Linked DNA regions of Struthio camelus. The protein of the gene in region 1 interacts with the protein of each later gene in a pairwise test. Links are inferred from orthologs where the notes say so. Each region holds a gene or a part of one and is shown in the gene's direction. Other genes may lie near its edges.

What was found.
Region 2: the proteins of CEP126 (region 1) and HMOX2 interact in a two-hybrid assay, tested with the Homo sapiens proteins (2 studies listed by BioGRID and IntAct). The link is inferred for Struthio camelus from reciprocal best matches to the Homo sapiens genes CEP126 and HMOX2.

The regions. Positions count from the first base shown.
Region 1 is NC_090942.1:208,919,226-208,926,376, reverse strand, and holds the start of CEP126 (centrosomal protein of 126 kDa), read left to right. Parts: upstream 1-4,138; 5' UTR 4,139-4,225; coding exon 4,226-4,299; intron 4,300-5,321; coding exon 5,322-5,447; intron 5,448-7,151. Other genes in the region: ANGPTL5 (angiopoietin-related protein 5), read right to left, coding at 1,314-1,412. UniProt on the Homo sapiens protein: Participates in cytokinesis. Necessary for microtubules and mitotic spindle organization. Involved in primary cilium formation.
Region 2 is NC_090956.1:18,690,253-18,697,860, forward strand, and holds the start of HMOX2 (heme oxygenase 2), read left to right. Parts: upstream 1-4,666; 5' UTR 4,667-4,671; exon of another isoform or gene 4,672-5,678; intron 5,679-7,608. Other genes in the region: zinc finger protein 436, read left to right, coding at 3,480-4,666.

The DNA.
Region 1 (7,151 bases):
AACAAAGTTATTTTCACTGGAAAGGAGCAGGCTTTTGCATTTACCACATATTATCAAAACAGTTCCACTGTAAATATTTGCACCTGTTATTAAGCTATGCACACAAGTCCTCCCAAGCAGATTTGCCGACAAACCGAACATTTGAAAAATATCTTAAAGGCTTTTGTAGAGGAAAGAACAAAGGGACATTATTCAGAGGGATACCACCAGGTGAAACGCTAATAATAAAAACAATGGCATAAGCAGTTTCAAACTGCTACATCTCTAAATGTTATTTTAAAATAATATTTGCATATCTTAATGTTTTTTTTCTTCCACGGTGCCATGTGACAAACCTGTGTAAGAAATAAGGGAATGTCCCTGACTCATCACATAAACAAATGCTAAAAGTAATTCCTGAAATATGTGTCATCACAGAAAGCATTATGAAACATATTTTGATGTGAGTCTCTGTGCTTTAATTGCATGATCTTAGCACTGTACACTGTTTGCACACAGTATTTTGAAATGTAAATAGGACCCTTGAAAACATACAGATCTTCAAAAAAAGAAAACTTATTTAGACTCGATTGCATCTTTAACATACTTGTTCTCATTTCCTGCTTCAGATTTCTCTTTCTGGTATTGGCACTACACTGGTACAGCACTGAACAGTTCTTTCCTGATTTTTGCTTTTAAAAAGTGAAAGTAAAAATTACAGAAAAATGTTAACAAACAGATTTTACAAAAAATTGTCTGAATTATTAATTTAATTGCATCCTGTTTCTCAAATAAATGCTAGAGAATTTAAAGAGTATGTTTCTCCAAGTTTGAAATAAGTACAAAATAAAGGAAGGAAATTTCTGTAAGAGTTATAAATAAATCATTTGAAACTTATAAATAGATCGCTTTATCACAGCTACTCACCAGATGTTCAATTAAATACTGTCAAGCAAATATTTTAAATCAACATTTATTTTGTTAAGGAGCAGATATGAAACAGACAATTAAATCTGACCGCAGCAATACAAATAAAAACCGTGAAACTGCCAAAGACAACAGAGTTGCTCTGCATTTACGCTGATGCAAGTGAGATAAAAATCTGGCCCTACCAGCTGAGCTGTGAATGAAAGACATTAAGACAAAAACGTTCTTCTCCTTATACACAGAATTGCTACAATCTCAATGCAGCTATATGAAAATACCTGATTCTTCTATATTTTCATATCTACCCCGAATAAAGCAACCTACATTTTAAACACACCTGTCACTGTTCTCAGAAACTATTCAGTTACCTTCATTATCTTAGCTAACAATATAATTGAAAATCTTACCTTGGAGGAACAAGGTTTGACATTACTTATCACAGTCTCTCCCCAGCTGAAGAAAAAAATGCTGAGACAAACAAATGAAGTTACCCGAAAGGGGATCATCTTTTACTTGAAGAAATGCAAACGCTTTGACGGGTTTTGAATTTCTGTGGAAAGAACTGCACACTCCGAAGCCCTGAGCTAACTATTTGGGAATGTGTACAGCACAAAGAGCAGCCAACACACCACTTCTTTAATGCCTGGGTTTAATAAAATGCATTCCACTAGATTTTATATACTGCATTGCTTTTTACCTGAGAGAAGTTACTGCTTATTATCTTTATATGACTCACACGAGCGTATAAGTATTTTTATTGTGATAAGACTGTGGCAGATCTTGTTAAATGCTATTTTTGAGCATTGGTATATATGTATGTTTGTACTGAATCTGGGCAAGTCTGGGCTACTTGAAAGGAAAAAGTGTTAATCACTGTTTTCATCTTTTTGCAAAGGTTTTTGTAACTAAAATGAAGCTGTTTACACTTGTCTGGTGGTAATGCACTAGATCCAGCTGTGGGGCAATTTCAGAATATGCCTTAAAAGCAAATTCCTTACAGAAAACTGAAAAATATTACTTTAAAATAATAGTTTGTGTTATGTTGAAGATTGTTTACACATGGGACAAAAAAAATCTTTTTTTAATCTAATGTTTTCTTTGGAAATGAATATCAAAAAGGTATGGAGCACCTGCAGCTGGTTTCCTCATGAGTGGAGCACATTCAGCTGCTGGTGAAATTACTAACAACTTTGTTTTTTTGATATCTTACAAAATCCAATTTTTAATTTGTTCTAACGTACTTCATAGCATGTTATATTTTTCCAAAATAAGAAACACGAGAATGTAACTAGTGCACCGACTGATGCTCTTGTAAAAAGATGTAGTCTATGATCCAAAAATACAGTCTCTGACAAGGAGGTAAGAAAGTGAAAAGATTTCATGGCTGCCCATATATGACATTAAGGAGGAAATAACAGTTTTTATTCTTCTTTTTATACACAGAACTAAGAAAAGGAGCCAAATGTTAAAAAGTAGCACTAAAAAAGATCAGAACTTTGACTGAACTTCTTATCTCTCCTCACCCCATGCAGTGGCCTTCAGTTAACCTGAAGCTTGGAGGAAAGTAAGATATGAAGTAAAGGGCTAAAGCAGATTAATCCCCCCTGGACCAAAAGGAAAGAAAACGTGTTTCTGCAGCAGCATAGTTATGTTCCAGCCTTAAGATTTGTAATCATGTCAAAATCTGTCCCATAAAGATTTAGGAACTGATCTTCATCCTTCACTGGAATATCAGTCTGTAGCCCATATTAAAATTTATGAAACTTCTTTGAAGTCAGTTGCCAGAGTAAGACCTTCTGTTTTGTAACGGCATGAGATCAGGCTGCTTCCTGTCCCAGAATAATCATACAGTTATAGAATATATGGTCCTCAGCTAGCCACCTTCTCATCCCACAAACTGAAAGATCTAAGATCTTTCACCAGGAGAAGACAGTTAATAAATCTAAAAGAGAGTTATGAAGAAGTAAAAAAGTTAAAAAAAAAAGACTAGAAGATATGTAAAGACTATTTTTAATCCTAAACTTCAGAAGGTGGGAGTTGATGCTGCACACCATCAAAACTTGCAGAAAGTCTAAAGAAGTCCCAGTCCTGCCAGGCTGGAGATGACTATGATCTTTCCAGGTGTGACGTGGGCTCAAACTCCACAGTAGTTTCGCAGCTCCACTACAGTCCTGTCTGGGTGGATCAGGTCTTGATCCTGAGAAAGCCTTCAACCGCATCCTAAATGAAGCAGTGCAAAGTGGGTCTTAAAAAGTTTACGTAGGTTGAAAAGAACAGGAAAAGTACCACGTGGAGGAAATAGCAGCGACTAGGCTTCTACCTGCGACACTTAATTCAATTGGTTGGAAAGGAGAATTTGGGGCTGGTGTTCTGAACTGGAGATGAAAGGCTTCCATTTCAGGGTTTTCCTCTCAACTATAAAACTGGGATGCTATAAACATTAAGCATGTTCGGTAATCTGAGCCTCGTATAAAATGGTAATAGTAACACCTACCTCACAAGCTGCATTAAAAATATTTGTTGGGGGGCTGTGAAAAAAGCGTTTTACAAGTGTAGAATACTATTTTTACCCTTCTAGTCAAAGACATAGAACAGCTGCACTCTTTGAAAAAGAGAGGAATTGGTGCAAACTCAAATAGAACAGCCAAGAAACGTCTCGCCAGGAAATCGCCAAGGCATTTAGCCTTGTGCTGACAACTCATCCCAGGCATGGCAATATCCCAGGACAACACACCCTGCTTTGCCTGAAAACAAAAATGCAGTGTTTCATTCTTTCAGAGCAAATTACTTTTTTGCTTTGCGTGAGTTTTTTAACTCATTTTCACACACATAGTTTAATTTTTTTATTGCTATTTCTGCACCCCGTTTAAAAAAAAAAAAAAACCTTATGTTGTGAATTCCAAGCCACAGCCTCAAGTAACAGATCTAAGACGCGTCCACACGGAGCTCCGCACACCCACAAACGGCAGCGGGGCCAGGAAGGGGTTTCATTTGTCCTGCAAAACTACTTAGAAATGTGTTTACTACGATATCAGTTAAAAACACAACAAAATAAAGCAAATCCTGCTCTTTGTGAACGGAATGCAGGACGGGGGACGTGGCGGGAGGCGGCGCGGCGCGGCGCCTCGCCGCTGCCGCTCTGCAGGCCGCTGTGGCGACACCGCCCCGACAGGGCGCGAGCCGCCCTGAGGCCCCGCCCCTCCGCCTAGGCCCCGCCCCCGCGCGTTGCCAAGGCAGCGGCGTCCCTGGGTCCCGAGATGGCGGCGCGGGCGGGCCGCGCTCGGCCCTGACCAGCGGGGCCCCGGCCCCGCGCCGCTGAATGGAGCCTGGCGGGAAGGGCCGAAACCTCCCTGGCGGCCGCCGGGACTTCGCGGTTCGCAGTGGGGCCTCCGCGTATCCTTCCGCGTACGCGGGCGGGCAGCGTGGGGCACGGCCGCCCCGCGGAGGGGGCAGGCCGCGCGGGGGATGGCGAGCTCTGTGGGGTGCCCCGTGGGGGGCAGGGGCGTGACAGAATCAGTTGAAAACGTTGAACCTGATGATCTCTCTCACCCTGACGCTCGTAAACCAAGGAGGCGGAGCGCCGCTGTCGGGGTGGTGGCTGGTGAAACAGAAATTCTGTCTGTCAGGTATTGCTTCGGTGATGACTTGAAGGAGAGCTCGTTGTACGTTATTATCTTTTAGACTACCACAGAAAAGTTGAGTGACAGTCCTCTTAGCATTTTTTTTTATTTTTCTTCTTGAAGATACTGCCAGTTGGAAAGCATATTTTCCATCCTAATTCCAGAATCCCTATTTTCTTACTTGGATGTGAGTAATGATTTAAGTGATACTGATAAAAGTTCTAAGCTCTGCCTGTACTTACAGTAAGGAGAGCTGTTTTATCTAGTGGTATGAATGCATTTCAGCTAATCCCTTAGAACTGGGGAGGGCTCTGTATGCAGACAGACTTTCCCTGTGATAAATGTGTCCGTATGTCACAGATTTAGATAATAATATGCTCTAGAGGTCCCTGCTTGGGCAGGGAGGTTGGGCTAGATGATCTCCAGAGGTCCCTTCCAACCTAAACGATTCTGTGATAACAGAAAGATGTATCATCAAATAAACCAAAGAAAGTGAGATTTCATCAGCTGATATCATAAATGTTGCATGCAAAGCCTCTGGTGTTTGTTAAAGTCACTGTAAATAGTAAGATGCAATTAAACTTGTTCTGGATGAACAAGAAGTAAAGTACTACCATAGTATATATTTATGGGACCAGCTGTTTTATAATTAGTTGAAAAGCATAGTGACATTTGGTATCTCATGATTAAAGGTTGCCCTTTCCCAAAGAGGTACATAATAAATCCTCAGTGACATTATACCTTTTTCTGAGATGTTTGATACAGATGTTTTCATTATCCTTAGCATGATACTAGGGATAGAGCTTTAAAGTTTCATTGTGAACGGGATTTAGAAGAAGAACGTCAGGCACTGAAAGAAGATCAAAAAACACATCGGAGGAGGGCACAAAAATTTTCCATAGAGACAAATAGAAGAAGGAAGTAAGTAAATAAGGTTCTTTTGGCAGGAGACTGTAAAGAATGGAGTCAAAGCTTTGAGACAGCTGAATATATTTCTACTGTTTGCATGTTCAGATAGTCTGTTAAATAGTGTCACTGTTTTGTTCTGAAAGAGTCTAGGCCTTAAAGTTTCACTAATCTAATTTCTTGCTATAGAACATACAAAAAGCACAATATTCAGAGTTACTGAATTACTTCTTGGAAACTTCCTGTAGGCACCCTTTTATTGTTTAGAATAAAAGTAAGCAGTGCTTTCATTTTGTGCCTCTGACCTGCATTTCTAGTATTTTCTTCAATTTTTGTATTAGCTTCAGTGAGTGTATAATAATGCAGATACACCATAAGAATAAGCGGGCAGGAAGTCTCCCGTTACCATTGTCTACTGAAGTGTATGCACTTTTAGTTGTGTGACTCTCCTATGTGGTGAGCCTTTGTACACCCACTTCCCAATAAACTCAAAATTAAGGCTTTCTAGTACCAAAATATATTTGTAATAAAGTTTTATTTTAAAGGAAGCTTTGAATGCTCTGCCTTTCTACATACATGATAAATGCAAAGCGATGAAATACTCTATGACAAATGGATCAAATAAACTACATCCTGAGACATTTTGGTGAAGTGCGGTAAACAGTGTAACGGGCAGGGAGGGATCTTCCCAGGCACTCAGAAGATACTGTCACATAGACCTAGAAACTAGGCTGTGTGTGTAGCGGAGACAGAAGGGTTCCCCTCTGAGACAGTTCAGAGCGAACCCGCAGCCTCAAAGCTGTTTCCTCTGCCTTGTGTTGACTCTGAAATGCTCGTCCACTGCAGTTCCATGTCAGATGATTTCTGTTACACAATGTTTACAGTTGAAATATATTGATAACTCAGAACAGAAGCAATAGATATTGTTTATACAGCCCTTATAGCTTGACAATGGCTTGATACAGTGTGCTGTCAGCAAATATTTTAAAATATAAAGAAAAATGGAGGAGGAAGTATAATCACCTGGGACTGATTAAAGACAGTGTGTGACCTGCAGCTTTTGCAGATAGTAATAAGCTGAGTCTTGGCTGAAAGATAAAATATCTTAGTTCTCTGAAATGGTGCTGCTGTAACACCACGCACCTGAAATGGATGCTGTTTATCATATTACTGGTCTTGAAATACTATACTCCAATGTAAAAGCAAACACTAGCCAGTCTGCATATTTTTGCTGGACTAGTATAATCAAAACTAATACTCACGGATATATAAATACATTTCCACATGAATTTCATTGTAGCCTTAGGAAACACAGTATAAATCTAAGTTACGCAGGTGAGCCAGTTAAAATTTTAGGTGTGGTAATCATAAAATGAAATTGTTTCCATTTGTGATGATTGAGAATGACATAATAGCATAACTACAAGCATAATAAGCAGTTTAGATGGAAGTGTGTCATGATGAGTCTCCCCCTAATAACTGAAAATGAGTTGTCTAAAGTTAGAAAGATAGTAAGTGTATACAGTGTTAATAACTTGTGAAACAAAATTCAAAATTAAGGTTCACTGCATATATAAAAGAAAGCAATTTGGAAATAAAAAGTTGATTGATACTGAATATTTTTTCCCAGACAATTATGTAGATAGGAGGTGATTGATCTCCTAATGGAACAGCCATCAAGTCATGCCTCAGATCTGGGCATGAGCCAAGATCCATTAT
Region 2 (7,608 bases), on another chromosome or scaffold:
GCAATACAATAACTTCACTAGCTCCATCTACTCAGTAAGTTTGACAAACAGGTCAACAGCTTCAGGCCAGCCTGTCAGAGATGTCCTCTTCTTGTCCTGTCTTGGGATATTACCTTTCTCTTTTGCTCCAGGCCTGGACGGGAGTAAGTGCAGACCAATGGAAATGCCCCCATGGTGAATAGCAAAGTTCCAGTTTCTGTTCCTCTCAAGGGGCCATTCTAATGAAAACTAGCTGAGGGAAGAACTGGAATCACTACCACACCAAACTGCTGAGAAAGGTATCTCAGGAGTTCACTGTGAAATCGTGTCATGGTGTTTTCTTATACCGATTAGAAAGAGGAAGATTAAATACATACATATGTCATGTATGGGTGGGTGGGAATTCTAGACTCTCCTTCCTTTATTGCATACTTAAGGTTCAGGAGTGACCTTCCTCTTTGAAGGCATGAACTTCCTTATTGCAACTCTGCCAGACCGCTGGAACCGCCTGTGGTTTGTACATCAATCTCTCACTATTGGTATATGTTATCTGTTTATTTTACAAGATAGAGTTTTCAGAGAATCAGGAGGTAGCAAATGAATCTTTATACAAAGCATACTTGTCTACCCCGCTAAGGGGAAAAAAATCTGGAGGTCTCCATGCCTATGGCTTTAGTCCTCAAGCTGTTCCATACTTTTGGTTAAAACATAGCCAACAGCAACTCACCCTTCACCCCTGAAAGTCCATATAGTCTATAGAGATCATCTGGAAATCTATTAGTCTGATTGACCGGTCTTAAACTTGGATGTGATGCCTCTCTCCAGAGGTGTGTGTTGCCATTTCTACACCCCACGTACATCCCTCTGACATCTATTTACCCTTGCCCGACAGCAAAAAGGGTGCATGCTTCACAGGTCCTGTTTTACCAGTGATTTCATGCATAAGCCCTCAGTAAGCCTGCAACAAGCTACGTTTCTCCACTGACAGCAAAGCCCACAGCAATATTGAGGGTACATGCTTTCAAACTGGTTAGGATTGCTCACCAAACCACACTTCAGCAGTGTGCTAGAAGGAGTTGCTGCTCTGTGTAAATACCCTGGAAGCGTCTTGCAAGCGTCTTGTCTTGGCAAAGCTTTCTACTGACCTAGCATTGACTGTACAATGTAGATTCATAAAGTTTATGCTTCTGTGAGACTTCATGTGAATAAGAGGACAGGTAATTTGTTCATTTCCTGTGCCCTAGGAAGCAGTGATAACTGTATAGCTAGTATTACTTCCACTGACATGCACTTTTTTTCATGTTTCACGTTTATCAGTGTCTAATGTGGAACCAGCCACAGAGAGTCTCCAGTGGGCTTGGCCCTTGAACCCATATTTCACCAACAGTGCCTTTCGCAATGGATTTGTTCTGCACTGATGGAAAGTTACTTTTCTTCTGCTCAAAGATGGGCATAAGCCTCTCCAGGTGGCCTGCATGTCTCATGCCTTAGGGCCAATGTCTTCTCTGTGCGTTTTCTCTCCCCCTCTCCCCCTCTCCCCCTCTCCCCCTCTCCCCCTCTCCCCCTCTCCCCCTCTCCCCCTCTCCCCCTCTCCCCCTCTCCCCCTCTCCCCCTCTCCCCCTCTCCCCCTCTCCCCCTCTCCCCCTCTCCCCCTCTCCCCCTCTCCCCCTCTAATACCTGCAGCACAAGTCAGAGCATAAAGGTTTCATCTGTTGTAATCCAAGTAACCTTCTGCTGAATGAGACAGTTCTCTATGGCCCTTCTCTGACTCTCAGCCCAACTTTTAGTAACACTTCCAGATATAGTATCCTGGAAGAGCAGCTTTTTTCCTTTCAAGCTCAAAACCTTTACTTCTAACGCTGTGGGAACTGCCTGGCTTTGTTCTGCTTGTTGAGCATGCTCTATACAATACAGTGAGTCTTTTGACAGAGCAGGAGATCCTCTGTGGGGAAGCCTACAAAAACAAGAAGAGAATGTTACAGAGCCCAGCATGATCTTGACCTTTAAAGGCTCCTCTCCCCCAAACCTGGGCAGGAGGCTAGTATTAAAACTTTCTAGACTTTCCACCAACTCTGTATGAATCCCGTTTGCTGAGATCTTGCTGTGTCTACACAGAGTATTCTCCTACCTCTGCCATTTCAAAAGTCCTAAGAAGGAGAGCCTTACACAGGTCGTTCCTCTTTAGAGGTGTTTTTAAGTTTTCCTCATCCTCTTACTTTCTAGATTACCAATGTTACTTGAGATGTCTGGGGACCATTTGAGTGGCACATGCTTCAAACAGTCCCTCCCTTCTTCCTTTCTCTGAGCAGACTTGAAAAGCTTTTTTCTCAAAGCTCATGAGCATGGGTCACCCAGTTCTCTTTGATCTCTTACCAAACAACAAATTTGCACGTAGTTCCTGATATCTAGCCCTCTCTATACAAAGGACTGGCTTTTTTCTGCACACTTCAAATATCCGTCTTCTTGCAGTGTGGAGGCCAAGCCAGTGCAAGGAGTTCTCACACCCTGAGCCAGGCAGCCTGATCAGGTGCAGGGGTGACAGCCACAGCCTGGTCAGTGGTCATCAGGATCTTCTGTCCATCTTTTAGATGGAGCACTGCTGCCCCCACATCAGGACTGGGCTTTGCACTGCTGAGTCCTCCCAGGGGGAGGAAGAGCTTTGTCTTATGTGACTTTCAGTGTAGTTCTTTGGGATGTCTGGTCTGTATTGAAGAAGACTTTGTACACCTCTAACATCTGCTTTAACTGAGAATCTGATTTGGCAAAGGAACAGAGGTGTCACATGCTGCTCTGCCCCACAAGCCATCCTTCCTTATGTACAGGCACTGCCTCGACAGTCTCTGTGAGTTATAAGCTTTGACCTTGTATGCGGAAGGCAGGATTCCTTATCTGGGATCATCTATGATGTCAAAAGGACCTAAAAGCAGAGCAGAATTGGCTGCTTTTCTGGCAGGCGCTCAAGACTGACTTCATGGCTTCGTGCAGTTTGTGGCAAAGTCAGTAACAATCTGGACTGACTGCTGTGGAGCAGGGGCTGTGCGTTGTTTGCTGTTTGTGTCCTTAGAGGGTAAAGCAGCAGCTATCTCCCCGCAACCCCTCCTGCAGTCCTAACTGTGCTGCTCAGGCTTGCTGGTGGTGACCTTCTGAATTTCTCTCTGTGGACTGTCTGTACTTCATTAGTCGTCAGGAAACAGTCTTCTAAATGTCGAAACGGGGATTCAGAGCTGAAATTTCACTGTGGTTTTGGTTTGACGAATTAATAAAATAAAGTTGATTCTAGTTAATTCTAGTAGACTCCAATTATTGCAAGGCATGCAGGGCTCCTTCCAGGGCTTGTTCCTATAACGCTGCAAAATACCCTGAGTAGGAGGGAAGTATCAGTAGACTGATAATAAGTATAAAAACTCCTGAACTTTCAGAATTTAGCCCCTTTTGATCTCCCCTGCACAAAATTTCCTTTTTTGCCTGTGACTCCTCTCTGGATTCTTGTTTTGTTGCAGCTGAGGATAGGATTGTGAGCAAGAAAGAGGAAAATCCCCACCAGGGCATTCCTCGGCCAGTGGATCCAGATTTACTATCGGGACTCTCCAAGGAGAACAGTTCCCAGAGTCCTGAACAGGACCCTGTTCACCCACGCAGGTCAGAAAGGGTTCAGAGACCTCCCCTGGGGAAGAGGCAAAGCAGAGCGACGCTACGTGGAAAAAGTTTCAGGAGGTTGCCAGACCCCAGCCAGCAGAGAAATCCTGCTGCGGGGAGGCTGACGATATGTGGGGACTGTGGGAAGAGCTTCCGGGTGAGCTCCAACCTGGTCCAGCACCGGAGAATCCACACTGGAGAGAAACCCTTTGGCTGCGCCGAGTGCGGGGAGAGCTTCCGGCAGCGATCGCATCTCATCCAGCACCAGAGAATCCACACGGGGGAGAGACCCTACGAGTGCTCCGAGTGCGGGAAGAGCTTCAGTATGAGCTCAAAGCTGATCCGGCACCAGATAACCCACACGGGGGAGAAGCCCTACAAGTGTGCCGAGTGTGGAAAGAGCTTCTCTGGGAACTCGCAGCTGGTCCAGCACCAGCGAGTGCACACGGGGGAGAAACCCTTTGAGTGCAGCGACTGTGGGAAGAGCTTCAGCGTGAGCTCGGCCCTGACACGACACCAGAGAATCCACACAGGGGAGAAACCCTATGAGTGCGCAGCATGTGGCAAGAGCTTCAGCCAGAGCTCTGAGCTCATGAAGCACCAGCGGGTGCACACAGGGGAGAAGCCGTACGAGTGCTCCGAGTGTGGGAAGAGCTTCACGGTGAGTTCTGCCCTCATCCAGCACCGGCGGTTCCACATGGGTGAGCGCCCCTATGGATGCACCGAGTGCGGAAAGAGCTTCACTGTGAGCTCCCACCTCATCCAGCACCGCCGCTTCCACACTGGGGAGCGCCCCTACGAATGCACTGAGTGTGGGAAGAGCTTCCTGTGGAGGTCGGCCCTGCTCCGGCACCGCAGAGTCCACACAGGGGAGCGGCCCTATGCCTGTGCCGACTGTGGGGATAGCTTTCGGCAGAGTGCCCACCTCATCCAGCACCGGCGGATCCACACTGGGGAGCGCCCCTACGCCTGCACCAATTGTGGGAAGGGCTTCACCGTGAGCTCTGCGCTCCTCCGGCACCAGCAGATCCACAGGGGAGAGGAGCCCTAGGAGGGGTGAGTGTGGGGAGCAGTTGTGTCCGATACCCTGTGCGCTTTCCTGGGAAAGTGAAGCCCAGGGTCTCTCTCCTTTCAGTCTAATAACCACCCTGCTTTTGGAGGGTGAAAGCAATTTCTTTTTAGGAGAATGAGTGCTAAAAGGTAGAGACGGAAGAAGAGGAGAGTCGGTGCAAGGAGCTGAATTGGGAGTCTGGGGAACAGTGTGTGACAGAGCAGAGGAAGGAGGTGGTGTTCAGAGGGATAGCTCCTGGGAGAGGGAGAGGAACAAAGCACTTTGAAAAGGCTGCAAGATGTTTGGTGGTATATTTAAGAGAAGGGAAGTATCTTGTCTTTTGTCTGTGCGCACAATGTTTCAGACAATTTACAGAGGGAACTAAATGGACCATCTGAGAGCGTGCAAAGCTCTAGTTAGCAAAATGAAAGCTCTCACGTTCCCTTCCTGCTACTGCTTTGTTTAGAGGCTCTGAATTACCTACTCCAGGCCGTGGTCTGTGCCTGTAGCACAGAGAAGCTGTAAGCCTGATGTGCCTCAACTCCTCCCTGCTATTTGCCCACCCGAGCTGTGTCCAACAGCACGCTCGGTCACAGCACGGCAGAGTCCTGCGTGGTGTGCTGCATTCACAGGACATCAGTCTGAGGCCTTAGCCCACCCCTCTGGGGAGCAGAGCCAGCAAACACTGGTGGCAATCGCTGCGCAAGTGTGTAGTACTTGATGCCCACCTTGGTAATGCCCAGAGGCCTCTGTGGGAACTGCATCTGCGCAGTTGCTGAATTTGTGCTACTCCTGCTCATTGGGTTTCTGCTTGGAGAAGCCAGCCTTTCTCTAGAAACCGTGTGGAAGGGCTTCCTGGCGTTACAGGTTTGAGGATCTTTTTTTCCCCCCCCCCAATGTGGGAATTGAATGTTCCTTCTGAAAATATGGGAGTAAGAACTGAATTGTATGTTAATGAGACTTAATTATTTCTAAAATGTCCAAGTGTCCAAATAAAACCTTTTAAAAAATAGCATTTTCCCCATTTTCCCAGCTGTTTTGCCACCACAAGCAGAATCTTGTATAGTTCTTGTCATTCAGCAGCAGTGCTTGACCTCTCTGTAGCCATTAGATGTTGATGCTTTCGAACACCAGCAACGGGGAGTAATCATGAACATTGCCTTATACAGGGTGCTATGTGGTACAGAGCAGGGTTTTCCCTAGCTCAGTACTGCTCGAACCCCTGAGCCTTGCAGTGAGGGTTTGCCAGGAGCCCTATACAGCGTAGTTTGTGGCTCTGCTCCCTGTGCAATATGCCCTCACCCCTCCTCGCAAGAGACTCCTATATTGATGGAGGAAGTTGCATGATACCGGATGGTGGGTTTGAGCTGCAGCATCACTCTCCTCACACACAGATATCTAATTTATTCTTAGGAAGACACCACAGTAGCCAGCTCCCTGCAGTTTAGTACTTTCCATGGTATCTGGCTGGCTGGTGAACTGCTGTCCAGTCTAGAAACCTTCCAGCACCAGCTGAGACCAAGAGATCTGCCAGGCTTGGCCTGGGGAGCAGTGTCGGTACTAGAGCGCCTGGATGCAAGGGTCACCACAGAGGAGGCGGCAGTGAGCATTTCGGAGGGTCTCACTCCTGACCCTGGAGGATAAGAGTCCACGAGGGATGTAGCAGCATGCAGACGTCCCAGGGCCGGACAGCGGTTTTACTGCTTTAAAAGCAGCTTATAGAAAATGTGGGGGATGCACAGGGGTCATGATGGAGGGACAAAACAAACCCAGCTTCTCCCCAGCCACTGAACAGGGGCCAGGCTCACCCAGCTACTGCACAGCCACTCCGCAGAGGTGGGAGCGTAAAACCCAAGCAATGTTTGTGTCTGTGTGCTGACTGTGACGGCACGTTGTGCTCTCTTTGAATACTGGTCTGACGCTGAAGATGGCAAATGAAAGGAGCTAGTGCCTGGTTTGTCAAGTCCAACACCTGCTAACGAGGAAGAACGTGACAATAACGACGACAGTGAATTTTGTTTTGATGGGCCAGGTTGACGTGTTGGGGAAGCTCCCATCTGAAAGGCTGGACGTGCAAATGCTTCCACCTGCTATTCTGCCTTTTCATGCTGATCCTGTTTTACATGAGGAATTCACTGAATGATTTATTCTTTCTCTCTAAAATAGAGCAGCTAGAGAAGCTCACTAATGGCCTGGCCGGGGGCTGTCCAACTTTTGGTTTTCACGTGATGCCCTAGTTGTGTTCATGGTTTTATTTCTCTGAAATATGTTCATTTCCTACTGTATTTTTGCCTAAACCATCTCTCCCTGGTGCTCTGCTGACCCCTTTTCTCAGCATATCTTCTCCAAGTTTCTGGCTCTGTAGCTAAAGCCACTGAACCTCAGCCCCTAGACTCTCACTGTAAAATCACCCACTTGCCTTTGTGCAGGCTGTCGCGTATGTGGTGTTACTGGCCAGAATAGCTGCCTGGTCTGGTAGGATCTGAAGATCCACTACTGTGGTGTTTCATAAAACCCTCTGCCCTGCACACGCTGCATGAATCAGAAAGCAGAGCATGGACAACTTTTTCCTACCTCCAGACTTACTAGTGGCTCCTGTGCCCAGAGCTGAAGCCAGACCGTAGAGCAATTTTACATTTCTTGTGGAGCAAGTTAATGTCACGCGGGGGTAGAGCAAGCACTGCCAGGGAGCCGCTCAGAGCCTTGCCTCTCCTGCTGCTTTCACACAGTAAAACAATGAAATAGCCCCAGACTGACTGGGGAATTGAGATGCTTTCTCAGCTCTGCAAAAACACCACAGGCAGACTAAAGGGTTATACAGGCAATATATACAAGCAATGACAGAAAAATGATTCAGTGGTGCCTGAGGCCGCTGGATAGACAGGCAGGAAATCACAAAACTCCATTCAGCAGGGAAGGGGGAAACATTAAGCCTGAATCCT